3 linked regions of the Alligator mississippiensis genome follow. The protein of the gene in region 2 interacts with the protein of the main gene of each other region in a biochemical or structural test. Links are inferred from orthologs where the notes say so. Each region holds a gene or a part of one and is shown on either strand. Other genes may lie near its edges. The genes, in order: TANC1, PATJ and CLDN1.

Region 1 (10,681 bases), on a different chromosome or scaffold from region 2:
CAGCGACACTCGGAGAGGAAATTTTTTCAAAATTACTGGTCTAATCCACATCCCATTCTACCCAACAATCCATTGGAAAGTTTTCACCCAAGTCCCTGTTCAACATCAGAGATAGAAAAACAAAAATGTACGGCTCAGAGGGAGGAGGGGGATGGGACAGACAGAGGCTTGGTAGGTTACATCAGTTATGGCACTTCTGAAAAATTAGAAATCTGGATTCCAGTCTTGGCCCAAATCAGACAGAATGTGGATTTGAAACCAGGTCCTACTTCCTGGACAAGTTCTCTAACAACTAAGGTACTAGGTAAAATGGGATGCGGGAATTCTCTGATGAAGAGCTGACCTGTCTTCTGTAACTAATTTAGGGAAGCACCATAATACTTTTGAGGGAAGGCAGTCCTATTCCTCACACCTAGGCATTTCTTACTGGTTACCTTAGCTGGCTAACTGTTCAGATTGCTAGCTTCTATGAAAACCATTCTTCCAGAATAACTAATTCAGGGTTGAGGCACTGGGTGTCAGGTATGGGATGGCAGAGGGAGCTTTAGAGAGTTAAGTGTTGCAAAATTTACAACTGTAATTCCCATGTCCCTTTGTTGGGAACAAGGTGTAGACTATTCCTAAACATTGACAAGGAATAGAACATAAAATAAATTCAAAATTAGTTAGAGTGCTTTATCAATCAGAAACTGGATATCTTCTATATCTACTCCTAAAGATCAAAATGCCAAACTTCCTGATTTCCCAATGCTAGTGTCAACTCATTTGTGATATACTTCCAGAACTCCCAAAAGCATTAAGGATTTCTTTTATTAAGATTTAACAAAATCTAACCTTCTGTTAAGTAGTATACAGGATCGATCCGGTAAGCCACATCAGGCCTACTGCAGATTTTCTTTTCAGGGTAAGTGAGGGAAAAAAGGAAGTTAACATTATGCCATCATCTCACACAATTCAATAATATATGCATAAATGCATTCAGATTACAGAGTTACTGTTTAAGATGTGAGTGGCAACAATGTCAATCCAATTAGTAAGAACTTTTAAAACCCAAGATAAAAATCATATAAAACTTTATTCATTACCTATTCAGTAGAGAAGACTAAATAAACTACAAGGCAAACTTTGTGGCTGGGGACAGAAATTATATACAAACTGGTATATGTTATCGGAAACCGGTTCAAATCTAACACAACAGAAGTGCAGTGAACTTAAACCACATTCAAAATGGCCCAAACCTGTTCAAGATAAACCTGGATGGATGTAGTATCAGACTTAACTGATTTAGGTTAAATTGTTTTAATGATCTTCTGTCCCAGATCCCCTCCAGATTCAAGTCAACTCTCAGCCCCCAGCTTCGCAGAATGCTTTGCACCTCTCCTGCAAACCCCACCTTGCAGGGTGGGTAGCCTAGCCTTGGCCCAAGCTATCTGCTCCAGCTGAGTAGGGAGGCATGCTCTAGCCCCCTGTCCCACCAGCTTCAGACCTAGACTGCTGTAGGCATCTGGCTCCATTTCCAGAATCAAAAAATGAATGTCTGATCACTTGCTTATCAGTTCAATCTATGCAGTTTAGACTAACCTGTGAAAACTGAATTGATTAATCCTCAGGCTTTTTGACTGTCTCTATTTAGCCTGTAGGAACAGTCTTTTATGAAGCCATGAGAAAGAAAATAAAGTAGCAAGTTATGAAACCTACTAAAGCAAGTTATGTCCTACTAAAAATAAGAGATAAAAGAGATCAAAGGAAAAAAGTGGTATTTTACTGAAGTGCAGAAATAGATGGCAGGAGATTTGGGTTCTATTTCAGCTTCTCCCACAGACTTTCCATTTAACCCTGAAGAAATCACTTACATAGGATGAAACTGTGGTGCATAGGGTAAAATAGGAATATAAAAAAAAAGATACTGTAAGGGCTAATGTTGATGAGCATAAACTATTTTGAGATCCTTTGAACAGAATGCACTACAGAAGTATAAAATCTACAGAATCAAGTAAAAGGGGCTGAAGTCTCTTGACTCATAAGATCTCCCTGGTTTATGATGGTAAAAGGGTTTTTAACCAGCAGAGTGATAGTAAATATACAAATAAAAAGGCTAATCTTAATTATCCAGTTATTAGCTGACCTAGTAGATTCCATGGGATATTAGGGAAATCATCCCTCTACCGACATGCCTCCTTTAGGAAAAGATATGGGCAAGATCAGAAAGTTAAGAATTGTACTATACTCAAATGATTTTAAAATTCCCTTTCTGAAACCAACAACAACAAAAAAATTAAATGGTTTCATAGCGAATCATAGACACACTACTTAAAATATAATACTGCATTGGTAGACATTTAAGTATAATAAATGACTTTGCCATCTTAAGACAAATAGAAGGTTGGACTAGATGACCTCTTGAGGTCCCTTCCAGCCCTACTTTTCTATGATTCTAAGGCCACCTCTACACATTAGAGAGGGCCTTAGAAACACATAATTAACCAGCTATAAGAGCAAAGTAGCCCCTACCTGTGCCAGGCACAGCCTGCCCCACCCCGCCCTGGTGCAGACATGCCCGGGCATGTCCCACAGCTGCAAAGTAGCCATAAAAAGCTCCAAAAAACTATGAAGTTAGACCTCAGTATGTACTAACTCTTATAAGTGGTTGCTATCTAGCTTTAATGGCACATGTAGTTAGTTGCCAGCTCCCAGCAGCAGGAGTGCACCATGCTCAGCCAGGCCTGTGGGTCTCACAACTCGGTAGACTCTCAGCCTCAAAAGCTGCCCATTCTGGGTCCCAGCGGCACAGGGACCCAGGATCCCCTAGCTGTGGATGCCAGGTACATGGACCCAGCCAGGTCCTTGCAGCTGGAGGATGTGGCTGATCCAGGGGTATGCAAAATCCTCTTGGGCTGGGGGATTGCAGCTTCTCCTAGGCTCATGGGTGCATGAAACCACATGTAGCATGGCAGGAGGCATCCTTATGTGGATTGCATATTTTTTACCTGCATGTATAGAAGGGGCCTCAGATAAGGGAGCTCAAAGTTGCCCAAAAAAATCTGTCACAGCAGAACACAATGGTTTTAGAGCAGGGATTCTCAACCAGAGGCCTGCAGGGAGCTGTGCAATATTAAGGTTAGGTGTGCAAACACCTACACATGGTTCACAAGATAAACCCAGAGTTTTCAAATAGGAATTCATAGTGTCCAAAATATTCTGACCTGTTGTGGTCTGAGTTCTTTGTTTTATTATTTTTTTGTAGTCAAGAAATGAGTGTAAGCTAAGAGCTGGCATTTTCTTGAGGGATACCTTGAGTCTAAAGAGGTTGAAGACAGCATTAATTCTGATGACAGTATGAAGCTTCATTAGAGAAATATAGCCCAGTTCACTCAACACTGCCCAGTTGTCTTTAAAATTATACCCTCAGATCACAAAGTTGCTATGGCATCAATGACAAAACTGTGGTTAGAAACAAAAAAATGTCTCTTTCCTACAGGCTGTTATGGGAAGCTGAGCAAGTTTGGCTATGAACCAAATATGTTTTGGCTCTAGAGTGAGCATAATTTATCATCATTTGGACATTCCAGTGGCTCGCTAACCCAAGAAAGCAGAACCACTGGCACTTCACAGCATCCAGCAAAATTAACCTCCATATATATTGCCATAGCTGCATGTTTACATTACAGACAGAAATCTCATTCAGGTATATTCGCTTGCTTTCACAGCATAATTTAATCCTCCGACACTATTTTGCCATCGTGTCTTGTCAAATCACAACAATTAGGAAGTTTCTCAATCCATTCAGTTTTGGCAACCACATTGCAGAAATTAAGACAGGGAGGAAGTTCTGTCGGATGTGAGATACCAGATTCCCTTGCTTCTTCCCAAGGCTTTGTAATGTTGTAACCAGCTCGACACGCTTAAGGCCAACAGCCACCGAGGCTGCGGGCTAACAAAGGCGTCTTGGCAAAGGATCCGCCACAGGCTGGGTCACCTCCTGGCAGGACTCGGCCTGGAGCAGCAAGGCACAGGTAGCCGCTACCGCCCAGCGCCATGGCAAACCCTGTTGCTCCAGCAAGTCTGCTGCAAAGAGACTGCTCAGTTTTCCCCAAGCAAAGCGGCGGTACCTCGGCTTTGCCAACCGCCACTCTGGGCTGGTGCAGCAGGTGACAAAAGTGCCACCGCTTTGGCAGGTGCATGACAGGGGAAGCAGGAGAAGTCATCCAAGCCGGACAGGATCCAGCCCTCGGGCGCCCCACACCCCGCGTGGGGCTGGCCCGCCCGCAGGTGAGAGGAAGGCGCGGGACCGGCCGGCCCCGCGTGGAGGGACCTCCCCGCCGGGTCCCCGCGCCGCTCGCCGAGCCTGCCGCTGAACGTGGTGACAAGCAACACCCGCAGCCCCTCGCGCCTCCCCGGGGCCGCGACCTCCGCCCGCCCTGCCCCCACCTGTGCCAGGCACAGCCCAGCCCGCCCCGCCGCGGTGCAGACGCGCCCGGGCACGTCCCGCAGCCGCAAACTTTCGGCCGCACTTTCCCCGCACGCGGCGCCGGGCCGGGCCGGGCCGGGCACTCACCTCCGCGCCGGCGTGTCCCGGACAGGCTCGTCCGCAGCCAGCCGGGCGCGGCGGCGGGATGAGCTCACTGGAAGCGGGCGGCGGCGGCAATCCCCGCCCCCCGCCTGCGGCCACCCCCTGCCCACGGCCCGCCCGCGCGGGGAGGCAGCGCCGGGCCGGGTCACGCCCGCAGCTCCCCCCGCGCCGAGCTCCTCCCGCCTGCAGCGCGGCGCCCCATCTGCGAGCGATTAGCGGCGGAAAGCGCCGGGTCTCTGCCCCTGCCCCTGCCCCTCCCCCGCGCCGCGCCCGGCCCCGGCAGCGACGAGCCTGTCACGGGGAGGCCCCGGGGAGCGGCTGGGACCGCCCGGCGCGGGGGCACCGCCGCATCCTCATTTGTGTCTTTCCTGCCGCTCGTCACATGGCCCCGCTGCTCTCCGCCTTGCGTGGTGAAGCCCGCCTGCCAGTTGTCTGCTCCTAACTTTTATTTTCCTTCCCCCACTGCGAGCTTTTGGAAGCTCCTCTGGGCTCTTTTTTTATAGCCGCTGACGTGGGGATTGTTCACATGACCTCGTACGTACGTGGTTGTGGGCTCCCTGTTTTGAAGCGCCTCCAGGCAGGGAGATGGCTTAGGTGACAAGAGTTCACAAAACGAATCCGAAGGAGAAAGACTTTTTAAAATGTCTCTGTTAAACACCAGGCAAGCCATTAGCGTTGCCTGAAATACCAGTATTAATAAACAAGCCTTAAAGTCCACCTCAGATGCCCTCCACCTCCCTCCAGAGAGGCCTTCTCTGCTCTTTGTTCGATTTGAAACGCTACTGTATTTGTATCGCCTCCCATAACTTTTCTATAGATATTTTTTATCCTGTTAGCTGCTATCTGTTGTTTGGCTTGTTTGAATATGAGTGGGAAGGTGCAAGATTGAAGTCAAAAGGATATGAGTTTGACCTATCACCGACTCCTTAGATGTGGCATCATAGCAACACACGTAGCCTAATGTTTTCTGTATAGTACCCGGGATGGACAATCTTTGGGGAGTTAATCAGCATTGGCAACGCATAGGAGGTGCACGCAGGTGCACCCCTAGCAAAAAGGTGCTGCTCACGTTGCCAGCTGTGCCTGAGGGTGGTCCCCATTTGCCACCACCCCGCCCCTGTTGCTGCCAACACTGCTGGCAGCATCTGCAGGCGGTCTCTGATCGCTGCTGCTGATGCTGATGCTGCCAACAGTGTCTGCGGGTGGTCGCCAACCACCAGTCAGCATTCACCCTCCCACCCCGCGGCCACCTGCAAGAGCTCACCACTTTCCGTTGCCATGCTCCTGCCGCCGCCAGCGCTGCCACCGCCTGTGGGAGATCACTGTCCCCCCCCAGCCCCAGTGGCATGCAGTGTTCATGTTAATCAGTAGGGGTGCACAAAGCTTCAGTCCATGATTCAATTCAGAGAAGATTCAGCCAATTCAGAGGCTGAATCACCAAATCTGAATCGAATTGGGAGAAGAAAAAGATCTCTGAACCAATTTGGAGGCTCCGAATAGAATCGGAAAAGATTAGGAGATTAGGGAGGGGGAGTTGCGGGGGAAAGACTGACATCTGTAACTGGCCAGTGACTGTATCATAGTATCATAGTGTTTAGGGTCGGAAGGGACCTAAACAGATCATCAGGTCCAACCCCCTGCCCCGGGCAGGAACGTGTGCTGGGGTCATATCACCCCAGCCAAATATCTGTCCAGCCTCCTCTTGGAAGACCCCCAAGGTAGGAGAGAGTACCACCTCACTTGGGAGCCCGTTCCAGAGCCTGGCAGCCCTAACCGTAAAATGATGTCTCCTGATGCCCAGCCTGAACCTTCTCTTTAACAATCTGTGGCTGTTATTCCTAGTAACCCCGGGTGGTGCCCAAGGGAACAGAGCCTCCCCCAATTCCCACTGGTCCCCTCTGATGAGTTTGTAAACAGTCACCAAATCCCCTCTCAGCCTTCTCTTGTGCAGGCTGAATAGGTTCAGGCGCTTTAGCCTCTCTTTGTAGGGCCTGCCCCGCTGCCCCTTGATCATGTGAGTGGCCCTCCTTTGGACCCTCTCAAGGTTAGCCACATCCCTCTTGAAGTGTGGCGCCCAGAACCGGACATAGTAATCCAACTGTGGCCTGACCAGTGCCGCATAGAGGGGAAGGATCACCTCCCTGGACCTGCTTGTGATGCATATGTAGATGCTAACAAGGTGCGGTTAGCCTTACTAACCGCTTCCTCGCATTGGTGGCTCATGTCCATCCTGGAGTCAATAATGACTCCAGGATCCCCTTCTGCCACTGTGTTGACAAGAAGTGTTCCCCAGCCTATAGGTGTGTTGCTGGTTCCTTCTACCTAGGTGCAGCACCTTGCACTTGTCCGTGTTGAATTCCATCCTATTCTCATCTGCCCACCTCTGTAATTTGTCTAGATCTAATTGGATTCTGTCCCTCCCCTCCAGCATGCCCACCTTGCCCCACAACTTAGTGTTGTCAGTGAATTTGGACAGTGTGCATTCCACATCCAGATTGCTGATAAAGATGTTGAACAGTACAGGCTGCAGGACCGAGCCCTGAGGGACTCCACTGCCCACTTCCCTCCAGGTCGAAAACGGCTCATCCACCACCACTCTCTGGGTGCGACCATCTAGCCAATTTCCCACTCATCTGACTGTGTAGGCATCAATGCCGCAGTCACCCAGTTTATTTTAAGAGAATGTGGTGGGAAACTGTGTCAAAGGCCTTCTTAAAGTCCAGAAAGATGACATCCACCCTGACACCCTCATCCAGGGACTTTGTGACCTGATCATAAAAAGAAACCAGGTTAGTCAGGCAGGACCTGCCCTCAATGAACCCATGTTGGTTGCCTCTGAGCATTACAGAGCATTACAGCTCTGAGCTGGGCCCTTGCAGATGTGCTCCTTGATAATTTTCTCACAGGTCTTCCCAAGGACTGAGGCAAGACTGACTGGCCTATAATTGCTGGGGCCCTCCTTTCTCCCCTTCTTGTAAATGGAGCCCACATTGGCCCTCTTCCAATCCTCTGGCACCTGGCCAGTGCCCCACGAGTGCTCATAGAGCTGTGCCAGAGGCCCCGCTATGACCCCCGCCAATGCCCTCAGCACCCTTGGGTGAAGAGCATCTAGACCTACTGTAATCTTTCCCTGAAGCCCCTTCCAATCACAGTACTCTGGGGGAGGGACATAAAAATAGTATTAATCCTCTGTCTGCAGGCTTCCTATGCCTTTTGTGGGCTGTTTCTGCCTGAGCAACAGTGTCTGAAAGGTACTGGATTGGCTTGGCTTCCTACCTAGTCAATCTCCTGCTACATTCTGTTCTTGGAAAGGATTGGATATAGCTTACTAACTAGAATCCCTCTACTTATCCCTATTCAATCCATTTCTTTCAATTTATATTTGTTCTTAGTTTATTTTTCCCCAACACTTTTTAAAAAGAAAGCTGTGTTTTCCCTAGCAGTGTGATCCATCACTGTGCAGGGAAGCACATACATTACACACAGTCACACACATACATCATAGAAAAAGTAGTCAGATATTACTACAACACAGAAGAAGTCAGACAGTCATAAAAGGAGAGATTATATATAGTTATTATTAGTTATAGTTACATATTATAGTTACATACAGACTAAAGACAACACAGAAGTCAGATAGAGATTCAGATTAACACAGCACAGAAGTGAGAGAGTCATAGAAGAAGAAAAGAAATTATTTTAGTTACACACACAACAGTAAACACAACACAGAAGAAGTCAGACACAGTCATACATCAGAAAAGAAGAAGATGAAATATACTGTATTATTAGTTAGTTACACAGACAGACACATTTTCCAGCACAGGAAAGATTAATATGAAGTGTTATTAATCCTGAAAGGGAATTTACAAACCACTTTTCACAGCCAGGCCTATGAACTTCACTTCATCAGCCTCCTAGTACAGTAACTCATGGACTCAATATAAACATTGGATTTATGACACATTACAACATGCCAGACATCTGACTCCCCAGGTACCTCCCCATTTTTACCTCTCCATTTTTACCTACATCCCCCTACCCCAGCCTGTCTCTCTCACCCCCTGACACCTCCATGTCCACTTTCACTGACTGGCCTTCTGGCCTGCCAGCCTCTGGCTTCTTTACTATTCCTTCCATCCAGGAACAGCACACACACACAGAAACTGCAGGTGCTTCCTCAGCCTGACAATGGGTTTTTCAACCCAAAAGCTTGCTAAGATATATTTCTCTAACTATTCAGTTGGTCTACTAAAAGATACCAGATTGACCCAAAGGACCTTGTCTGCCAGTGCCATGTCCTTAGACCAACACCCTTAGCACCTGACCGGGAGGATGCAGGGGCCTGGGCACATCTAAGCCCCAGGGATGGGGCTGGCAGGGAGAGTTCTCTGGCAGCTGCAGGAGAAGAACCTCCTGAAGAAAAGGAAAGAAAGTCTGTCACAGTTTAGCTGCCTGAGATGCTAGTGCTACTGTGCTGCAGTACACTGCTTATTACCTGTTGTTATTTAAACTGGTGTACCAGACTGAGGCTGTAGGGGAGGAGGAGGCCTCATTGGGGCACTACTGTATTGTGTAGAGGCCCCAGCCCCAGTGAGGGTGTGTCTTAACACGTGCACAGTCACCCATGTCATGAGTTTTGCTTGTCAGCAGCTTAAGGTGCAGTTTCCCAGAAACCCCTGCACCTATCTCCTTGAAACCTGGCAAGCTCCATGGCCTCAGCAGGGGCTAGCAAGCGTGCGGTTTTCACCCCGCTGCACCTTAACACAAATACATGACATGAGTTTAGCTTTCAGCAGTTTGAGGTGTAGTTTCCCCAAAACCTCTGTACCTATCTCCTTGAACCTTGGCAGACTTCATGCCCTCAAAAGGAGCTATCATCCCTGAAATTTTTATCCTAATCAGCCAAAAAATGACAAAGTTATAGGTATTTCAGTGCTTCCTCATTATAGTCTATGACTGAATCTCCAAATCTCTCCGAACTGGCGCTAAATCTTCCAAAGCCGATTTGGCCGAATTGATTCAGGACAGTGATCTGAACCTCCAAATCAAATCACTGTCCTCCGAATGGGTTGAATCCAAATCAAATAATTCCCTATTCAGATAGGCCTATTAATCAGGGTTATGTAGTTAAGGAAGTTGTACATATAAACCTTGCTTCAGAAAATTTGAAAGTGATTAGTAAACAAAACAGGATACTGAAAAAAATTAAAAGGGTATCTCTTGATTTAGCAGTTGGAACATCTTGCTTAAGAACTGAATTCCCTAGACTCTGCCACAGAATCCTTTTGTTGCATGGGGCAAGCCACAAATTTTTCACAGGTGGCCCATTAACTGTGTGATCCTCCTTTTAGGGTGCCCAGCTTGAAACATCTGGTCTCAGGAATGCTGAACACTTAAAAATTTAACTGAGGTAGTCTAGATGGGAGCTCTGTTCTAAATACATAATGTCGTAAATACTACATACTTAAAAAAGAATCAGTCTGTCTGCTTTACAAATTAGGCAGCCCAGGTTTTGGTTTTTTTTTTTTAATTTTTTACAATTTTGGCTTTAATCTGTGCGCCTTGCTTCCCTATGCATTGAGATTCTAAGTAACCATTTAGAAATAATACTGGCATAAACTCTGTGCATAAAATTCATAGTTGACATAGATTGGTAGAACGGCAAATTATGCTACGGAAAAGACAATTGTCTAGATATACATCTAGGAACAAAAAAATCCAAACCAATAATAGAGAAGACAATATTCTGGACCACAGCAGCTCTGAAAAGGACTCTGGGGTCATAGTGAATAAGCAACTCAGCTTGAGCAGTGCTGTGGCAAAAAGAGCTACTGTGATCTTTGGATCCATGAACAAAAGTATAAAAGCTGGAATATGATTTATTCTCTGTATATGTGATTGGTTAAATTAATTCTGGAGGATTGCATCCAGTTATGGTGTCCACGCATGAAAAGGAATGTTGAAAAACTGGACAGGGTAAAACATAGAGCCACAACAAATTATTCAAGGACTCAAGAAAAAGGCCTACAGTGAGAGACCTAAAACATTCCATCTGTTTAGCTTCTCAAAAAGAGAGAGAGGGCAAGAGAGAAGTAACTTGATTACAGG
Region 2 (9,962 bases):
TATTTGCATTCTCATCACCTCGTCTGTCCACGTCACACAGATGCAGCTCTCGCTCCCCATATATCTGAATCAGAAAGACTTCTGCTTGCTGCTTGGGTGCTGGCAAGGGACATGTGACTGAATAATGGTAGTGTAACTAGGCCATGACAAGCAGGCCACCAACCCCAAGCACTGATTTAGAGGGGGCACCAGCAACACGCTGCAGCACTCTGCACCTGAAAACTGCATCTTATAAAGGGAAGCGTCAGGCGGCCTTAATCCTAGGCTGCATAACCCATCGCACCTGTAGCTTGCAGTATTAACAAGAATAATTTAGTTAAAAATCCCAAGAGTAAGATATTTGGCATCAAGACTGACATTGCTACTAAGCTCATTTTTAGTGTTCCAGGTATTAGGTTGGCAGCATGAAAGACTGAGTCAACAAAAAGAAATACTGTTTACCCTCTGCACAACTTTTAGATGAGATCATTAAAAAGGCCTGGGCTATTCTGCACAGACACTTCCTGAGCATAGTGATCTGCACCAGTACCTTTGACAAAAATATCCCTTTCAGCAAGCACCAGACAGCAGGTTTAGTGTTAACTGCTGCATATTACTCTAGGGAATGCTGCAGTCTGTAATGGTCTGCATATGTGTACCACACACCCTTACACAGAAGCCAGGGATAAGACAACCCTTCCTATTCCTACATCTCTTTAAAAAATGTTGACCTATACAGGGTTCAAATTACACCGACTCTTGTGGCGGGGTCTGCAAAAAAAAAAAAAAAAATGAAACCAGTGCATTGATTAACGAGTCCACCTAAGTAAAGGCGCAACCTAATCGGAGACCCCCTCCCCCAGGTTATGATTTTCAAATCTTACTGGGGGGGCATTCATCTTATGGGGGGGGTCAACCCCCAAGCTCCCCCTTAGTTTGCACCTGGACCTAAACGATTATAAGATAAGTGGTTTTTGCATCATTGTAGGGCAGTGACAAGAACTAGAAAGCAAAAGGAATCTAATGGGCCAGGGGCTGGTCAAAAGAAACTGCATGTGCTGCACTGAAGATCTATATGCTTCCTGGACCAAGGCAATCGATTCAGTCACACACTTAGGGCACGGCATATATAACAACCAGCACAAAGTCCGTGTGAAGCTGGGCATGGAGGAAAAAGAAACTAAGGTCCACAGGCAGTGCTGTAGCAAGGAGGGGAGGGGGGCACTTAATCAAATGGAAGGAAGGTTATGTAATAGCATATAGGGGCCCTCTGCACATGACCCAAAAAACCTGGCTACAACTGTTATCTGCAGGCATGCAAAGGTCTTGTATTCCACATACTATAGGAGTATCTGCTCTTTAAGCCAAAAAGCGGTCAGTTCGGGGCTTCTCAAATCTTTCCACCTTTTACCTCATAGATACTGCCTCTCCCACGTGCAATCAGTCATCATCTTTTAGACAACAACAACTGCTTAATGGGATATTAGCAAGGGAGTTGATTATTTTTTGGCATCTTTTAATTAAATTTAGCAGCTGGAAACAAGGCAAGACAGCACTATGTAACCAGTCAATATTGCACTAAACACCAGCAAGCACGGGAAGATGGCAGGAAATCCCCAAGGCATGGAAGGCACTTAGCTTACAGAATAGTGAAGTACGACACTCTCTAGTTCCAGCTGGGGGGACCTGTTAGACACCACCTAGACAGAGATGCTAGGTCTACAGTAGTACAGGTTTACCGGTATTTCTGGTAATCCCTAAATCTTCATAATTTAATTGACAAAACTACTTTTGCAGATCTAATTCATACCAGGTGGGAGATCAAAATAAGCTAGCTTGACAAATGTTCTTTTATGCTGGTTTATCTGCAGCTACGCTAGGGCTTTGGGCAGTGTGGAAGCATCACCACTTTTTTTTTTAATTCCTAAATTACAGAGCCCCTGTTGCTATGACAATGCTATAGCTGTGTTCAAAGAGCCTCTTCCTGGAGATGTGACATATGCAGCAAAAGTGTGTGCATGTGTGGGGGGAGGGGGGGTCTGCCAAATTAACTACACCACTGCCCCCAAATGACATTAGCTAAACTGGTGGACATTCATCTCCTGTCAGGATACCTGTACAGGCTAAGGGGGCATAACTTGAACCTGACGAAGCTTGGAAAATCGAATGGGATTCACAGGAGGTCTCAAATAAACATCTTGTGACAGATCCAATGCAGAAGGTCCCTGGCTTTGATCTCCCGTGACACTCATGGGCAACTCTAATCTGTATCTGCACAAACCATGGGAGACGATGCACAAATGGAAACTTAAAAACTCTTCGGTGTGCAACGTGGTCACCCAGAACAGACCATGGAACACATAATGACTCAATGCCAGATGCATAAATATGAAAAAGGTATTGCAGCAATACACCCTGATGTTCCTGACGCAACTGTCTGACTCAACCACCTAAATGTAAAAGTATAGGTCTACATCAGCCATACAAAAGAAGGGGATGTGGGACCTTCTCACATGCAACATATCTAACCAGCTATAAAACTAGTGTAGATCAGGCCATCACATGCAATCTTCTGACCTGCTTTGCAATATTTCAGAAGAAAGTTGCTATATCTATATAAACACAAGATACCCTTGTCCCTTCTTGCACCTCCCCTGGAAGTTGGAGAGGATTGTGAATTATTTTACACGGCCCATGACAGCCCACAGTGACTCAGGAACTTAAGGCTGTGGTCTTAAAAAGAAGATGTTAATTGGGGTCATTATTTAGGAGCAACAGGATGGGATACTTAATACTCTATAACACAAAAATAGTTCCTATCCCAAGTCTGTGGCTAGGTTTTCACTGCAAAAAGGGTACATGGCCTGGGTTTGGTTTTGTTTGGGAGGTGGCGGGTGGGTGTTAAACTGAGATTACGTCAGTATAAAAACCTACTAGACAGGCATTTTTCCTTGATGTAGCAAGCTGAGATAAACCCCAGGTGGGGAGATAAGGTCAGCGATATCATGGGTGACTGGTGCCTCCTGAGTGGGGGGGGGAGGCCAATTGCTGACGGGGTGCACTTCCAGTTTCGTGGCTGGTGCTTCCAGGGGCTGCATGACTGACCTCAGGTGCACCTGTGTGCACTATGTGTCACCAATGAGCGACAGTTTCTGGAAGGGACCTTACAGATCATTGGTTCCAGTCCCCCTGCACTTGGGCAGGAAAGACTGGGATCAAATGACCCCAGCAAGATGGGTGTCAAGACACTTTTCAAAGATTGCCAGGGTGGGTGACTGTACCAACTCTGGGGGAAGCCTGTTGCAAACCCTCAGCACTTAACTTGTAAAAAAGTTTTTCCTATGTGAAGCCCGAAGCAATCCTCAATCAGCTTATGCCCATCACAGGCAGTCCTCGACGTTTTGAGTTGCAAAGAACGGCACTTTCGACTTTTATAAATTGACACCCTGCTTCGACTTTGACGTCAGTGTTGACTTTTTCAACACTTGATCCAATGCGCCACCACGCCAGCGAACATGTTTGCTGCGTTGCCCATCTCCCTGGAGAGCGTCTGTCCAAACTTCCTTGGACACTTCCTTGAAGAAAGCAGACAAGACTCCAAAAACCTGCAGCCAAGACTCCTGCGAAGACGCCAGCCAAGAGCCCTTCAAAAAGTCCAGCCAAGTCACCTCAAAGAAGTCCTTCCAAATCAATATGATTGCTATTTACAAAACATTAATATCGTTATATTACTCCTCTATAATTGAGTACAAAAGTCTGGGTTATTTTTGGTGAAAATAGGGTATAGGGCTCAGAAACCAATCCTCTATTTATAACATTGTTTCCGATGGGAAAATCAGTTCTGAGTTACAACGTTTCGACTTGAGAGGTGTTTTTCAAGAACCGGTCCTGTCTTAAGTCAAGAGGACTGCCTATATTTCTTGTCCTCCCCTGCGCGGGGGCTGAGGTAGGCCCTTGACATGATTATCTGGGTCTTTTCTTCTCCAGACTGAAGCGTCCCCAGCCTGGCACGCCACAACAGAAGACAACACACAAACCAAACAAAGCCCCTGCACACACACACACACACACACACACACACAAGCCCCTTCTCGCTCCCCTCTTCCCTGCAGGCTCAGCCCGTCCCCTTGCTCCCGGGACAGCAGCACCGGGGCGGCCCAGGGACGTGGCTGCAGGTGCGGGCGGTAGGCCCCCCGGGAGCAGCGGAGGGCCGGGGCAGGGAAGGGCGAGGGCAGCGCGGGCGGGGGGTGTTTCTGCCTCGCTCTTCCCAGCCGCAAACTAACTTTCTCCGCCTGCAACAAGCAGCCCCTCCCCGTGGCCGCGTCCCGAGGCGCTGCAGCCCGCCCTGCCCCTGCGGGCCCGGTACCTGGCGGCGCCGATCCGAGCCCCGGAGCTGGGCGCCTGGGAGGTGGTTTCGGTGAAACCCAGCCCGCAGGAAGTGGCTGCCCGGCCCGGCCCAGCCCGGCCCCGGCGCTGCCCCGCTCGCCGCACCTGGGCGGAAGTGCAGCCGCAGCAGCCGCCGGGCCGCGCCCCACCTGCAGCGCCGTAGCCGCACGGGCGCGGGACGAGACGGGACGGGGCTGCGCTCGGAGCCCGCGGGCTCGGCTCGAAGCCGCAGCTGTGAGCGCGCGGGATGGAGGGGCGACTGAGCTGCGCGGCTCGGCTCCGCTCGTCCTGTCCTCCCTCCCTCCCTTCCCTTCCCCGGGCCCGTGCCCGTGCCCGTGCCCAGCCTCTGCGTCGCGCACAACTTCGGAGCCGCAACTTGACGGCAGCCCCGAGACTCCGGACGCCCGGTTTACTCTTTAACCGGCAATAAAACGACATGATTTGTTGGGTTTTTTTAAGGAAGTGTCGGAAATTGGTGATCACAGATCTTCAGGCTGTAACAAACCAGTGGCCGGCAAGGATCATAAGCTATATATGGGTCCTATATGGCTTCCATATGGGTCATATATATATGTATATGTATGTATATGTATGCACACATATGTATACACATGTATGTATACATGCATGCACACACATATATATGTACACATACACACACATATAGATATCAAAGAAAGAGCTATTTTTTTCATATTCCCAAAGCGTAGACCAGCGGATCCCAATGGGGTGCCCACGGGCACCATGGCACCCCGCGAGGTTTATTCAGGTGCCCATGCACATTTTCATGATTAGTAAAAAGCATTATTCCGACACAAAATGCTGTCACTGCCGACTGAACTCAGAACAGCAACACTTCAAAAAAATTTTCACAGGCTGTATGCAACAGCCACTAAAATGAGACTGCGTCAGTCTGAGTGACACTGTGACGGCGTGGCTCTTAGCACACCCTCCCCGAACGGAGCCATGCGCATGCACATATCCTGGATTCTAAATTCTAAACTTTAATGTTCATGTTGGGGCCCCTGCTTTTTCTTTTAAATTCAAATGTGCCCTTGTGCACATAAACATTGGGAACCCCTGGCATAAACTTTAAGAACAACACCAAAAAATCATGAGAGTTGGCGACTGAGCTGCACACAGCTGCTTGGAACTTGACAAACTCCGCATGGATAAATCTGGTCTTCTCCTGGCTTAAATGTGCAAGCCCTGACACTACAGCTACAGGGAGGGGACTGTTAAACACGTTGATGAGCAGTGCCCCCACAAACACACTGGGCTTCTGTTGGAGTATTGACAGTATTGATACTCTGTTTAAACTGAGAAATGCTGAAATCTAATTCAATCTATAGCCGACAAACACTTGTATCCAGGTATTCATATCCGTGGCATACAAAATACTATGCACTGAGTGTCAATGGTAACTTCCATTCTGTTCCAAATGCAAGATTCCCAAATCTGCTATATATGTTATTTATGGTTCAGAAATTATCAAGACGATCCCTATTGAAGTGGGGGAGTTTCTGCTTTCATAATCTTTCTCTGGGCAGCTGAGAAGAAAAATTATATACCCAAAAAGTCTTGATGTTTCTGTATTTTCTTTTTAGTGACCAGTTTTCAGAAGGACCGAGCATGTCCAACTCCAGTTGAAGTCAGCAAGAGCTGCAGTTCCCCATACTTCTGAAAAGTAGATGTTAGCCTGTTTTGTTGTATTCTTAAGTTGCAGATACCAAGTCAATACCCTGAAAGCAAACTGCCTGTTTTATGTCAGCTGCTTCTGCTTTCCCAGTTCATTGTGTAGTGCATCTCATGTGATCCTCTCAAGCAGAGAGAGAGGACTTTAGAACAGCAGCCTGCATCAGAAATATGAATCAACGCTTTTTTTTCCAACTGTTTTTCTCACATTTCTGTTTTATTTGTTCAACCTTTGGAAAGTGTACTGAATGCTCATAAAAAATATGTCATATCCTCCTCTTCCAATTTATGATACTTGGTTCAGGTTCCAAGTGCCTAATTTCCCACTCCCATGCCTGAGCTTGGGAATTAATGTAGTGCTTATGAAAACTGCCAGTCGGCTAAACAGAGGTGAATACTGAGGTCTGTTGTTTATCCAGCCAAGATGCAGTGTGGGCAGAAGCACAACCGAGTTTGTTACTTTTCTTTCTAATCCGCCTCGGTCTTACCCGTGGAATATGAGGTTCATTATGAGGTGTATTCTCCCTTTGGCTTTTCCTTTACAACTGCCAACAGGATTGTCAATTTTACTTGTACACTTTCTCCATTAGGCAGTAGACCTCCAGTTTATTTCACAAGAATTTCCAAACAGCCATTAGATAGCAGTATTTGGGGGGACATTACCAAGCTGGGTAGAATGACAGGGATGAATAATATTTCACATCATAGTGCCAATCCCTTCAGCCATCCATTTCTCACAGGCCCATGTCTTTATTATTAGCTTGTCAGATATGGGTGATGTGGGATTTTAGTTGGTACGTACATCTTAAAGGATAAAGAAAAATGGCTATGCACCCAAACAGCTTTCAGAGCCTCTGAGTAAAGCAGAATTCCTGATTTACTTTCTTAAACAGCTGGAGTTTTGCTCGATGTAATTTAAATAAACCTGAACGAGGACAAGGGAGGTCATACAGTGCTACTAGTTGGTCACATATACTACACTTTTCTAGCACAGTGGTTCCCAACCTTTTTGGAGTCGAGGTACCCCTTCATAGACTTGAGACATCCCTTGGAAAATGCCAGATCTTAATTTTCACTTTTTTTAACTGCAGAAAAACACCAGAACAATTCTTGTGTTGCAAGAACAGAAAGACAACAGGTCAAAATATTTTGAACACTATTGATTCCTATGTGAAAATTCTAGTTTTATCTTGTGAATTATACTTGCACACCTAACAATGCTAACATTGTGTGGCAACCCACAGCGTCCTTGAAAGGATCTCAAGGCACCCCAGGGTGCCATAGAATTATAGAATCGGAGGACTGGAAGGGACCTGTAAGATCATCAAGTCTGGTCCCCTGCTGTGGGCAGGAAGTGACTGGGCTCAGATGAGCTCAACAAGGCACTTGTCCAGTCTCCTCTTGAACACCTCCAAGGATGGTGACTGCACCACCTCTGCTGGAAGTGTGCTCCAGATTGTGGTGACCCTTACAAAGAAAAAGGTTTTTCTTATGTCCTGCCTTAATTTATCCTCTATTAGCTAATAATGCCCATTGGTCCTCGTCTGCCCTTGAGGTGCATTCCTGAAGAGTTGCTCCACCAGATTTTGATGCTCCCCCCCTGACCTACTCCTGATGTCATGGTACCTTGGTTGAGAATCACAGTTCTAGTTACTTCTATTCAGGATCACAAAGTCACAGTTAATATAGGGCTTATCTACTGTGGGTATTTTTGCACAGATGAGTAAGAAAACAGAATTGTAATAAACCAAACCAGTACAAATAAACTTTAATAAAACTTCAGGACTAGGGAAATATAGTCACAGGCAGCTACTAGGAATCCTCAGGATGACCTAATGCTAAACCTCTGGGATTTGATCCTGCTGGAAATTGGAACATGTAGTTTCAGAAATTTAATATCACTAGCAGTCAAGTAGTTAAAAAAAGCTTAAATCAGTTTAGTAAGTGTTAAACCTGTAAAGCATTTTGGCCATCCTGGACTGGACATAATTACACTATAGAAAGCATCTTGGAGGCCTAGTCTCTATGACAGGGTTGCTGCCGATGCTGTATCTTGGGTGGGCAACACAGGTCCCCTGTTTTAAACACAGCATACACTAGTGGTTCCCAGTCTGTGGTACACGTACTACCAGTGGTATGTAGATAATCTGTCAGTGGACACATTAGATTTAATATCACTACTTTATATGACAAAAGTTTTCTGGTGGTACTTAAGGTTGATCTGAAAAATTTGCTGGTGATACTTAAGGTTGTATTGTTTCAAACTGGTGGCGCACAATCTGCCGAGTTTGGGAACCGCCGCGCTAGTAGAAGTTCCTTAACTGCTGCAAGTCGCACCTCCTCCCCTGAACAGCAAAAGCCGCTAGCAGAGCTGTGTCTGGACTAGCAGGGCTATGTCAGTGAAAGGGGTGATTCTTTTACACCCGCACCTGACACTGTTCTGCCAATAGTGTGTTGTCATGTCGACAGGCTCTCGCTCATTTGTTTGTGTGCTTCACATTTTTAAAAGTTCCTCATATGGGAAAAACCAGGCTGGTGTTAATGCATTCGTCTGTCATCTGTGGTGATCAGAAATTAGACTACTAAGGATTTCTTTGATGTTCTGAAAAGAATGTCACACCTTTGTGAATGACACTTGGCTGCAGGCACAAGGTCACACCTCGTGGGTAATGCCTGACCTCTCCTTGCATTAAAATGTACAGCCTGTGTCTGGTTAAAATAAGGATTTTGATTCAGATGAACCCCTCGTCCCACAAGATAACCAGGTTTGGTTTAGAGCAGTGTTTTGCAACCGCTGGGCCATCAGAAATGAGCAGGTGTGCCACAGGTTTTTGCCATGGCAATGAGCTACAGTAGGTATGAGGATGGGGAATGCCTTAACAGGTGTGCCACGGACATTTTTATTATTAATGCAAGCTTGCCTCCGGCTGGGAAAGGTTGGCAAACACTGGTTTAGAGGAATTTGCAAAACTGGTACCGATCTACTCAAGTCCTTTAAAAAAAATTACATTTCTCCATAACTAGCATTAGGTTTTTCTTTTTCTTGTCATTCTTTCTTTCTGCCTTGTCTTTTCCACACTTCAGGGGATCCACTTTCCCAGTGCAGGTGAATCTTCTGCATGTAATGCGCATATAAGCACATTTCAGAAGGAAATATACTTAAAAACCCCCAAAACACTCCCACATTTTCCCTCTCTTTATCCTAAGAGGAGAAGAAAAGAGCTCGCTGCTCCTTCCTCAGCCTCTACTCCATCCCTCCAGCCCCTCCCTCCCCGTCTCCCACAATGCAGCGGGACGAGCAGGCGGGACCAGGATTCCCATCGACACCTGGCAGCCGCTCTGCCAGTAGTAGAAGGGCACCCATCTTTACTAAGGGCAGCTCGGCTTCTAGGTGCAGGGGGGGCAGCCATCTTGAGAAAACGCCCGGCTCGCCTTCAGCGCCATTGGCCATAGTGGCGTGGCGGCCATCTTGGCTAGGGGCAAAGCCTCGCTCCTGACCAAGCTTCGCATCAGCTGACCGGCGCGTTTCCATCATGGCCGCCCGGCAGCGGCGGTGGCGGGGGGCGGCGGGCCGGCTCCTCGGCCTGCTGTGGCTGGCCTGTGTCACGGCGCGGGCCGCCGAGCCGCCGCCGCCCAAGTGCGACGAGCTGAGGATGGGGCAATATCCTGGGCCGGGCCAGGCCTGGTCCCGCGGGCATCAGCCCCGGCCTTCCTCGGGGCAGGGGCAGGGGCAGGGGATGGGAAGGGGGGCGCCGCCGGGGTGGTGGGCTCTGATGCCAAACAAAAAAAACCCAACGGCTTTCCTTAATGCCTCGCACATATATCTGCGAAGATCCCAAAATAGACAGCGGCACGCAGGAGCCCACGAACTGCACGAACCACACGGCTTACGGTAAGGCTGG
Region 3 (9,867 bases), on a different chromosome or scaffold from region 2:
CCTTTGCAGAGGGAAGGCAGGTGTCTCCTCTAGGCTGTCCATGTCCCTGCCCTCGGGCCGTGCTGCTGGCAACCCTTCCCCACCAGCAGATGCAGTCGCTGAAGGGCTGCTGATGAGCTGCACACCTGTCTCTGGGCGATTCCCCCTCCCACACGGCTGTACAAGGCCCACCTGCGTCCAAGTGACAGAGCCCCGGTCCATGATGCTGACATCCTCTTCCCTTCAGCAAGTGGGAACTACCCACGGGCCACCAACTGCACATGCACGGTGGGAAATGCAGCCTAAATGGCTCCATTTGCTCCACTCCAAGTTTTCCTGGGGGGAGGCTACCTACGCTCCCTCCCGAAACCGCGCTCTCCAGGCTCTCGTTGCATTGCACCCGGGCTGGCAGCCCTGAGCTCCCTTCCTTGCAGAGCCGCAGGGTTTGGCTGCACGGAGCCAGGCCATGAGCGGGCCAGCGACGGAGAGGGGAAGGCTGCCGGACCCCCAGCTGGTCCTGGAGCCAGCCGGCCATCCCCACCCGCATTCCTGTCCTGGGCTGGACACCGAGCGGTCAGCAACGCCCTGCCTGTGGAGACTTCCCCAGGAGCAGACAGACCCAGCTGCGGTTGGGTTAATTCCTGCAATGCCGAGGCTGGAAAGCCCAGCAGCTTTCAATCACCATTAAAGGGTCCCAACACCCATGAACCGCACGGCTCATGCTTGATCTGAGACCTAGATAAATGCTTTCCACGGCAGACATACTGTCCCATAGCAGCCCCCTTTCTAATACCAAACATTTCCCCCAAACCCAATGCTATTCTGCACCCGTGGACTTGCAAATTAAGTGCATGCTATTTTTCAAGGCAGCATGGTGAAAAGACTAGGGCTCTCTCCCAGGTGATACCCTGGCTACCTTTTTACACCATCCAAACATCGTGCAAACATAAACCGACCCCCTCGGTGCCCACGCAGGCACAGGGCTGAATGCACGCCCACCTCGCACACACAGCTTGCACGCCGGAGAGCAGCAGCCATGCCCTGCTCTCCTCTGCCAGGCTTCTCCTGGCACCTCACAGGGCAGGTTGGTCCCCAGAGGCTGCTTTTAGGGGTCACAGGTTTGCTTGCACCCATCCCCGGGTTGCGGGTCGACAGGTGAAATGCAGCCTTGTTGTTTGGCTGAATTCAACCGCGCCCTGAATGACAGGCCCCGGCTTGCCGCCAGCGTGGGCACGCTCCCACGGGGTAGCGATGGAGCCCTGGCATAGCTCCCACGGTGCCCAGAGCCGTCAGCCAAGCCAGCCTCGCCCGGGAGACAGCAGAGACAGCAGGGCTGCTAGGTGTGAATGCTGCCTGGAGAGGGATGGGTTTTTCCCCAGGCCCCCCGCTCCTGGGAGAGCCTGGTGCTGCACAGCGGTGACCCCCACATGCTGCTAGTGATGCCCCAAAAGCCCTGGCGAGGGGCTGCACATGGCACTGGGTCTCACCCCAACTCAGGTGCCTGGCGATCATGAGAAATTCAGGGAAGCTGCAAGCATTGCAGCTGAGGCGGGTGGCTGGGCTCAGGGTGCGGCAGACGCTCTCTGGCTTTGCAAGTTTCTCCCTGCCAGGGCAACACCCGGGAAAAGGCCCTGGGGATGCTTGCCATGCTCCCTTCCTGTCATCCCAGGGGGATCACAGCCAGCTCTTCGGGAGCAGAGGAACCTGACATGCCAGCGCACCAGGGTTATGAATGACTGCTATACGGTCATTCATAACGCAGGTCCAGGACAGACACTGACCTCAGGAGGGAGTGACGTGCTGACCACAATGTCCCGCAGGGGACCCGGGGTCCACCCCGAGCACAAGGGAAAGCCCCAGCGCACTTTAGGCACCGTATCATGTGCAGGTCAAGGACGCTATGATCCCCTCTCACTGGAAGACGGCGGGGGATTATCGGACTTGAATGCCCGTGCACCCAGCAGCCCTGATCTTCACTAGGGTTTTGCCATGCGAGCGCATCAGGCACCTCTTCCACCCCCCTACTTGTGCATGTTCAATCACACTGCTCCGTGAACGCCGGCAGGGTCAGATGAGGTGGGGAGAAGACCCCAGGGTAACAGGCTGGGTTTGGAAAGGACTGATCTGCAGTGCCATGTGAGACCCAAGACTAGCCCTGAGCATGGTACCAGCAGCCGGTAGCCACTGCTTTGCTATCAGTGCCAGCGAGAGCAGCATCTAACCGAGCCAACAAGCATGGGAGGACACCTGGGCTGAGTTTTGGCTCTGCTCTGATGCAGCCGGGCTGCATCTCCAGTGGTTTCTGGTGGTCCATGTGCGTGCCCAGAGGACTGCACAGATCCCTCCTCCTCCATAAGGAGCCGAGGACGTTTCACTCCAACCGGCCAGCGTGGGTAGGCACCACCCTTGTCGGCGAAGTGTATAAACAGATCCACTCCCCGGCAAATAATTAAAGGGACCGACTGGCTCCTAAGTGGGTGGTGGGTGAGGCTGCTGCATTTCTCCAGCCTTTCCAGGCAAAGGCCTGGCTTATCCTCAGACATGCAGAAATGTATGTCACCAGGGCTGGACTCGAGCGGGGCGGGGGCAGCGTGGATGGATGCCTCCGGGATGACAGAGGCTTGCATTTGGATGCATGGCTGGGGAAGCAGAGCCGGCTTCTTGCCGGGAGCTGGGAAGAAGCTATGAGAGCAAGAGCCCTTCTCTGCTGGTCCAAGCCACAGCCAGCTGCATGCAGGTGCAGCTTTTCTGGCCACGGCCCCCGAGTGCCCGCCCGAGCGAAACGACAGCGGGAATTTTCCCAGAGCCAAAAGCCTGAAGCTAGGAAAGAGAAATTCAAGCTGGCTCCCACCTGCAGAATCAGGCCCTACCGCTCAGGCCCCGGAGGAGGGACGACTGAGGACAAGGTTGCAGACATGAGGGATTGCATCCTCGCGGATGAAGCAAGGCTCTCGGCTGGAACATGCCCGCCCTCGCTGCCGGCGCGGGCACACGCACCCTTTACTCCGGCAGCTTTTGCAACTGGTGCTAGGTGGATGCAACTGGCCAGGACTGGAGGGATGTGATCGGCGGAGCAAACCCAGCAGCATTAGTGCTTTGGAGATACCCCCGATGGACCTGGCTCCCACGGGGTTGTCTCCGCTGATGAGGCTGTGCCACCCACCAGGATTTTGGGACAGTTCCTGTCCCCTGGTTGCTATCAAGAAGAGCCTGGCCAGGTGGAGCTGGCTATGACCTGGAGAAAACCTGGCTTTGATTTCTCCAGCATTTCACATTCCTACCTCCCTCGCCCAAGCCCATCGCTGGCTGGAGCTGCCTGCCCCGGTCCTCCCCGTTCATGCTACACCAGTGCCTGGTTGAACCCCCGACTCTCTGCCCAAGGCCCAGCCACAAGCCCAGCTCCTCCAGGCCCCACAATTCACCAGAAACCAGCACTGGAGATGGCACAGCATGGGGCTCTTCCCAAGCACCCTCCTTGGGGAAGCAAACCCCACCTAAGGCGGTTGCAAACCCCACCTATTGCTTTGCAATAAGTGAAGACTGCCCAGCCTGCCCCCTTGACAGCCTAGCACATTTGTTAAGGGGAAAACAATCCTTTTGTCCTTCTGGGAGGTGCCCTATCTCTTGGGGGCAGGGGCAGATATTACAGCAAGGACTCAGGCAGGCAGCCGAAGCAAAAGTATATATAAAAATATATAATAAAACATATATAAAAGTAATACTATATAAAAAGCATATATCAAAATCTCTCCAGAAAAGAAGAAACCCCAGTGATCGATTCCCTTGTCTCACCCCGCTACACCCCCAGCAGACTCCTTGATGGGAGGAAGGTGCCCGTAGCAAGCGCTTGTGCGATCAGTGAGAAAACAGACATACACCTCGGCCTGGCTTCTGCATCCCTACTTGTCAAGCCCCGTTCAAAGGCTTTGGTGGCATTAAATATGGCCAAATGCCTCCCTTGGGAATGGTTACCATGAGATGCACTGGCTCAGGCTGGCCCACAACCAGAGCTTTCCTGCCGGCTGCAGCCGGAGCCGGATGGGACCCTGGAAGTCCAGCAAACAAGGCTTGCAAGCAGGGGTGCATGGGGTGCCGGGAAGAGTCAGATCCAGAGAGACACAAGTATGGGCAGGGCACGATCTCACGGACCCACCAGCTGAACCAGAACAGCAGCACCCTAGAGCTGTCCTTCTGGGATCTGCTAACAACATCAGGGTGCCGGACTCGATCTGTAAGGTCCCGTCCAGCCCCTAACAACTATGAAAGTATTAAACTTCAGGGCGGGGACAGCAGGGAGAGCCCCCAAACCCGCTCCACGCACTTACTCTCCAGTTTCAGCAGGGAGTCGTATATCTTGCACTGCATCTGGCCTGTGCTCTGGGTGACACAAGACATCCACAGCCCCTCGTAGATGGCTTGGGCTGTCACAAGGTTGTCCCCGGCGTAGGAGGACATCTTCCACTGGGGCATAGCCGTGCTGACGATGATGCCGATCCAGCCTACAAAGGCCAGGATGAAGCCCAGCAGCTGCAGACCTCCGCTGGCCATCTCAAAAGGGCTGTGAAGAGGATGCCACAGTCCCTAGGTACCAGTCCACGCTCCCAGGACCTGGGCAGCTGGTAGGATTTGCCTTCTTCCTCCCCCTTGGCAGCACTCAGGCGGAGATGTGAGTGCAAAGACTCTTCCCTGCCTCTCTTATCCTCCAGGAGCAAGGCAGGCGTCGGTGCTGGCTCCTCGGGCTAGAAACCACCTGAATGAAGTCAGAGCATCTCTGGGTTGCAATTTAAAGCCGAGTCCTCGGGGCTCCCCCTGGCGGTTTCACCCGAGCTCTCGGCTCCCGGGAAGGGGCCGTGACAGCTCAGACCCAGCACAGCTTTCCCCTCCTGCCCCGCCAACCTGCGTCCAGATGTGCATGGCTTCTGGCAGGGCGTGGGGAGCCAGGGGGTTTCTTTCCAGCATCCCGTGCAATCAGCTCCAGTTGGAAGACAGAGCTCACAAGCTAGCGTGTGTGTGGTGTTGGTGATACCCATGTGTCACACTGCAACCGGTTTGCCGGGGACTTGTGCTGTACAGGCTGCAGCAAGAGCCGTGACTGGGAGGGTGACTAATGTTCAAAGCTACCGAGTTGCATCCCAGCGATGCCAGGTGCTTTCTCTCCGAGGGTCTTGCATGCTTGATAAATGCAGGCCGGCGAGTGCTCCTGCGCCGCCGTGGGCCAGGCATCTCGGCCCCTGGAAATGCATGGATTCTGCTTTGTGCTGCGCACCAAGGTCCCTGAAGGCCCCTCGCCCTGCCCCATCTCAGAGGGCCAAGGTGGCAGGCAGCGTCTCCTGCACTCGGCTCCCGGCTCGACCTCCCGAGGCGGCCGTAGGTGACTCCGTTTCCCCGCGCCTCGGCTCCTGCAGCTGGGAAACAAGGAGTGGGTGCTTGCCCTGGCTCCCGGCGGGACGGTTAATGCTACGGGACTGCAAAGTGCTTTGGGAACTGGCCTAGGAGAGGCAGGACGGGAACAACCGGTGTTTGCTCAAGGCTGCAGAAAGGCAGGGGAGCTGGGGTGGTAACTCAGGCGCACGTGGGTGGGGGGGGCCTGTTTCATGCCCAAATTGCAGGGAAGAAATCACTCGCCCAAAGCACCCAGCATTTGCTTTTTTCCTGCCTGGAGCAAACCCCAGGCAGGCTTCCTGTGGGGTCTTTCTTTTTTCTACGTGTTTTAAAAGGAGCCAAACGTGGGTGTATTTGTTCCTAAACCATCACTTCCATAGTAGCCCGGCTCAGAAAGGCTGAAGCAAAGCACTCGGGCAAAACACTCATCCGAAATCAGGCACCAAATTCAGGCTGGAGTTGCCAGTAATGGTGTCTGACTGACCCCAAGCTGCATTTATCCACCGGCCAACTGACCCTTGTGCCCAGCTCTAGGTTTCGTGTCCTTGCTTTGTATCAGCTGCTGCTTTTTGGAAGGAAAAGCAGCTGTTCCTAAAATACCCCTTCTGCCTTCGTGGAGAGGGAGGCTCCCTGCTTTCCCTGCTAGCACGGCTGGGGTCTGGGAGCTGGGCTGTTCTTCCCCTGGCTTGCTGCTCCTAAGGCTCAAACTGCCTTGTCTTGGGGGGATTTTGTTCGAGTGAATCCCAAATCTTTTTTTTTTCCTAAAGGAGAAACCTGCTTGTTGTGGCTGGTTGATGGAAATGGGCAGAGAGCGGATCTGGAGGGATTCAGTGGCCTGATAATATTATGCATCCCCTGTCTGTGCCCAGCACGGCTCCCCCAGACTGGGGGCATCAGGGGGACCCTTCCCCACGCCACGGCTGGAGGGAAGGGAGGAACAGGCCCCTGCACAACCCGAGAGGCCAGGACTGTGTGCAAGACACCTGGAAATCATTTCAGAGATGTCAGCAAACAAAGCCTTCCAGAGAGGCAAGCTGGCACCTGCCACATTTCAGCCTAAAATCAGTTGTTCTCAACCCTCCCGACCCCCACGTTCGGCTCGAAGCCCCACCTTGAAAAATGCCAGCTCTGAGCTTTCACTCGGGTTGACCCTGGGAAAATACTAGAGCAATGCATCGGTTGCAAGGAACCCGGCCAGGCAGAGCGGTTTAAACACTGTGGGTGGAAATTTCTCTTGCAAATCCTAAAAGGATCTCACAGCCCTGCAGAAGGCTGCAGAAACCGGGTTGAGACTCACCGATTTCAATAAACCTGCTTCCAAGAATGGGTGTCTTTAAATTGTCAGGATTTTGGAAAGTAGCATCTTCCACCACTGGGTCTCTGATGCCCCCGGGGAGAAGTGGCTTTGACTGAGCATCAGGGCATGGGGAGAGGTTAAGTGACTTGCAAAAGGGTCCCCGAGTGGGTGAGTAGCAGAGACCCAGGCTCTCTTGGCTCCTTAGGATGCTGGCCTGAGCGATCTCTCATAGGGCTGAGAGCTAGTTTGGGTATAGTCTGATTTGCAGGTAGCGATGGGCTGAGCTTTCATATCCAAGCTGATCAAGCTGCAGGTGAGGAGGGGATCCCCTGAAGACAAGAGGGAATGCATGAAATGAATTGGATGGTGTTGCCTTCACCTGTCATCAGCTCAAGCCCGGAGCAGCTCAGATGCTCTCTCCCACCACCCCTCACCTCGGCATAAACAAGCGTGCGCTGGCGAAGGCCGTGTTTGGCACGGGAGCGCGGCGGGGTTGTTTTGACAGCCGGGTGGCTGCGTTTTGATGACTTGCAGGTTCTCACCTGGGAGACGGCTGCAACGAGCCAACCGGTGATTACGCAGCCAACTTTGCACGGCTCCGGGGGGATTTGCAGTGGGAAAACAACTGCGGGGAAACCGCAGCGGGCACGGGGGGGTGGGCGCTGCCAGCACCTGCAGCAGGGAGCCCAGAACGGCAGTGCAGCTGGGATCGGCCCTGTGAAAGCAAGACAGCTCCCAGCACGGCCTGGCGGGAAGGTGTTTCTCTTTCAAGGGAGCAGGGAAAGGGGTTGCACCCCATACTAGGGCCTGCTTTGGGATGCATGGGGCAGCAGGGAACAGGGTCCCAGGTAGATGCATGGTTGTGCCGATGCAGCGGTCAGTGCCCTCGCTGGGCCGGGCTGAGGTTGCTGCTACTTGGTGTGATGGGCAGCATCCTTCCTAGTCTGCTCCAAGGCAGGAATTAAAGGGGCCAAGTCTTGATCTCAAAGGCTGCCGGATCACAGAGGGGTTTGGGAGGGTTGCTGCATGCCCTGGACCCCCTGGAGACAGCAGGCTGCACCTTGCTGCCCACAGCCCCGCTGCACCAGCTGGCTCCAGGCAAGCCCCAAGGGCTGCAACGGGTCGGCCACGAGCCCAGAGTCGCTCAGGCTTTGGGATGCAGTGGGGGAAGCTGAGAGGTTTTGCGTGGGAAGATCTTGGACGTCCCTGGCAGCCTCTAGGAATAGAGGTCCAGGCTGTCTACCGCACACGCCCTGCCCAGCTCACCCCCGGAGGGAGCATCCTTTACAGGGCAGGGAGCATGCGTGGTTGGGGTGGTCTGAGACGCGGAGCGCAGTGCAATGGATGTGTTCCCCTCCAGCTTCCAGCCTGGGCTGCTGGCTCAACGGAGCCTGCAGTTTGACATCTGAGTTTATTGCTATTGAAATCTTTCCCCTCCTTTCCTCTGCAATGGCTGGGTCAGTACTGCTGAGTGGTGACCAGCTTTGCATGCACAGGACAAGGCAGTGCAGACACGTGTGTCCAAGACCCACAGGGACAAGCCCTGGAGTGCTGCTGGGAGCCAAGGCTGCTCCCCAGAAAGGGAAACTCAGCCCTACAGCTGTCCAGAGAGCCCAGGTTCCTGACGGGTTCGTGCAGGGACCACGTCACCTCCCTGGGTACGTCGATAGTTGAAGCCAAGGCCATGCAGGTTCAAAGGGCTCCCACACCAATCACTCTTTACTTTGGACAGCACAAGCAATACTCAGGCAAAGCAGTAGGTCATCTGCCTCAGCTTTGGTGCTCTTCAGGACCCAGACATTGGCCCGGCAAGGACGCTAAGCCTTGTCTCTGGGGTCTGGGAGAGGAGTTTGACCCAAATCAGTTCAATGTGAGACTCCATTCCACCAGGTTTATCTTAAACCAGTTTCAGCCATTTTGAAACTGGTTTATATGCTGAATTTCTGTTCTGCTACAGGTTTAAACCAGTTTCTGAGGACTTAAAGTGGTTTATGTGCAACTTCTGTCCCTAGCCTTGGAGCTCTCCCCTCCGGACTTGGCGCAGACGCTGTCCTCTTTTTTCTCTCTCCAGCCCACTTCATTTGGCCCCATAGTCAAAGACCCCTCTCCCTCTCAAAGCTTGGCCTTTCACTCCTCTTCCCTGCCCCACAGTCTTATGTCTAGCATCCTCCTTTCCATTTTTAATTGCCTGCACCAACACTGAGTATGTTTGTTCAGCTTCTGGCTTAAATCCCGTCCCATCAAACCAGCTCTTTGCAGCGAGGTTGAACGCAGCTGGTTTTATCTGGGATGCTTTTGCTCCTTAGGTCTTCTCCAGCAAGGTGTTGATAGTCTTTCATGAGCAACCCCTTGGAGGAGCCTCTCCCTCCTCCCCTTGCACAGGGAAGAGGAACGCGGCCGCGGACTGGAATTCGTGTTTTTGTAGGCCCAGCCCCTGCATTTTCATAAACACATTACTCAGAGAAAGTATGCGAAAGCCTGCTAGTTTCCCCCCCGCACCGTGTGTCACAATCTCAGTTAAGGCTGTTTGGAGCAGTTGTGTAACGCGATGATCCTATAATTCCTCTGCGCACAGTTGTGGCCAGATGAGCAACTATATTTAGATAACACCTTCATCGTCCGCAGAGCGCTGCTCGCTGCGGGCAGCTCATCTCTACCTGTTTACTTTCCCGATAAACACCAGATATTTCTCCTGCCGGGGCTTGCGCGAGGGCAACCGGCCGGATTCTTCGCCTCCCGGCTCATTCCTCAAGAGACGTCGTTTGCTTGCAGAATTCAGGCATACTTTGACGATAAGACCCAGAGGAGGTTTGTGGCCATTGAAGCTTGACCTCTTACAAAACACAGGGCATCTCTGGAGCCATGCAAACAGCCTCTAGAGAAAAAAAAATAACCTCCTAATTTTGATTTAACAGTTGCCAGGGACGGAGAAGCCCCCGTAGCTCTGCAGAAGCTTTTCCAATGGCAAATGACCTTCTCTGTTAACCAAAATGGCACCTTTTCTCTCATCTAGATTTATCAAGCTGTTGAAGCGGGTTGGACCTGCATCTATCAGACAGGAGAGCCTGCTACTGCCACCTTTGTGCCCCCGCTCCGTGCTTTTGCAGGTTGTGAGCAAGCCATTCATTAACCTTTTTTTGTGAAGCTAAATGGACCGAGCAGCAGGAGCGTTTCACTTGAAGGCACGGCTCTCCTGCAGTCTCTCCTTC

Evidence for each region.
Region 1: the proteins of PATJ (region 2) and TANC1 interact in a test that uses a peptide from one of them, tested with the Homo sapiens proteins (2 studies listed by IntAct, with this or other methods). The link is inferred for Alligator mississippiensis from reciprocal best matches to the Homo sapiens genes PATJ and TANC1.
Region 3: the proteins of PATJ (region 2) and CLDN1 form a complex in vitro, tested with the Homo sapiens proteins (2 studies listed by BioGRID and IntAct, with this or other methods). The link is inferred for Alligator mississippiensis from reciprocal best matches to the Homo sapiens genes PATJ and CLDN1.

What each region holds. Positions count from the first base shown.
Region 1 is NC_081827.1:221,882,744-221,893,424, forward strand, and holds the start of TANC1 (protein TANC1), read right to left. Parts: upstream 4,780-10,681; 5' UTR 4,556-4,779; intron 1-4,555. UniProt on the Homo sapiens protein: May be a scaffold component in the postsynaptic density.
Region 2 is NC_081828.1:14,933,402-14,943,363, reverse strand, and holds the start of PATJ (inaD-like protein), read right to left. Parts: upstream 4,588-9,962; 5' UTR 4,515-4,587; intron 4,490-4,514; exon of another isoform or gene 4,346-4,489; intron 1-4,345. Other genes in the region: TM2D1 (TM2 domain-containing protein 1), read left to right, coding at 9,594-9,725, 9,883-9,952.
Region 3 is NC_081830.1:87,403,791-87,413,657, forward strand, and holds the start of CLDN1 (claudin-1), read right to left. Parts: upstream 4,755-9,867; 5' UTR 4,528-4,754; coding exon 4,305-4,527; intron 1-4,304.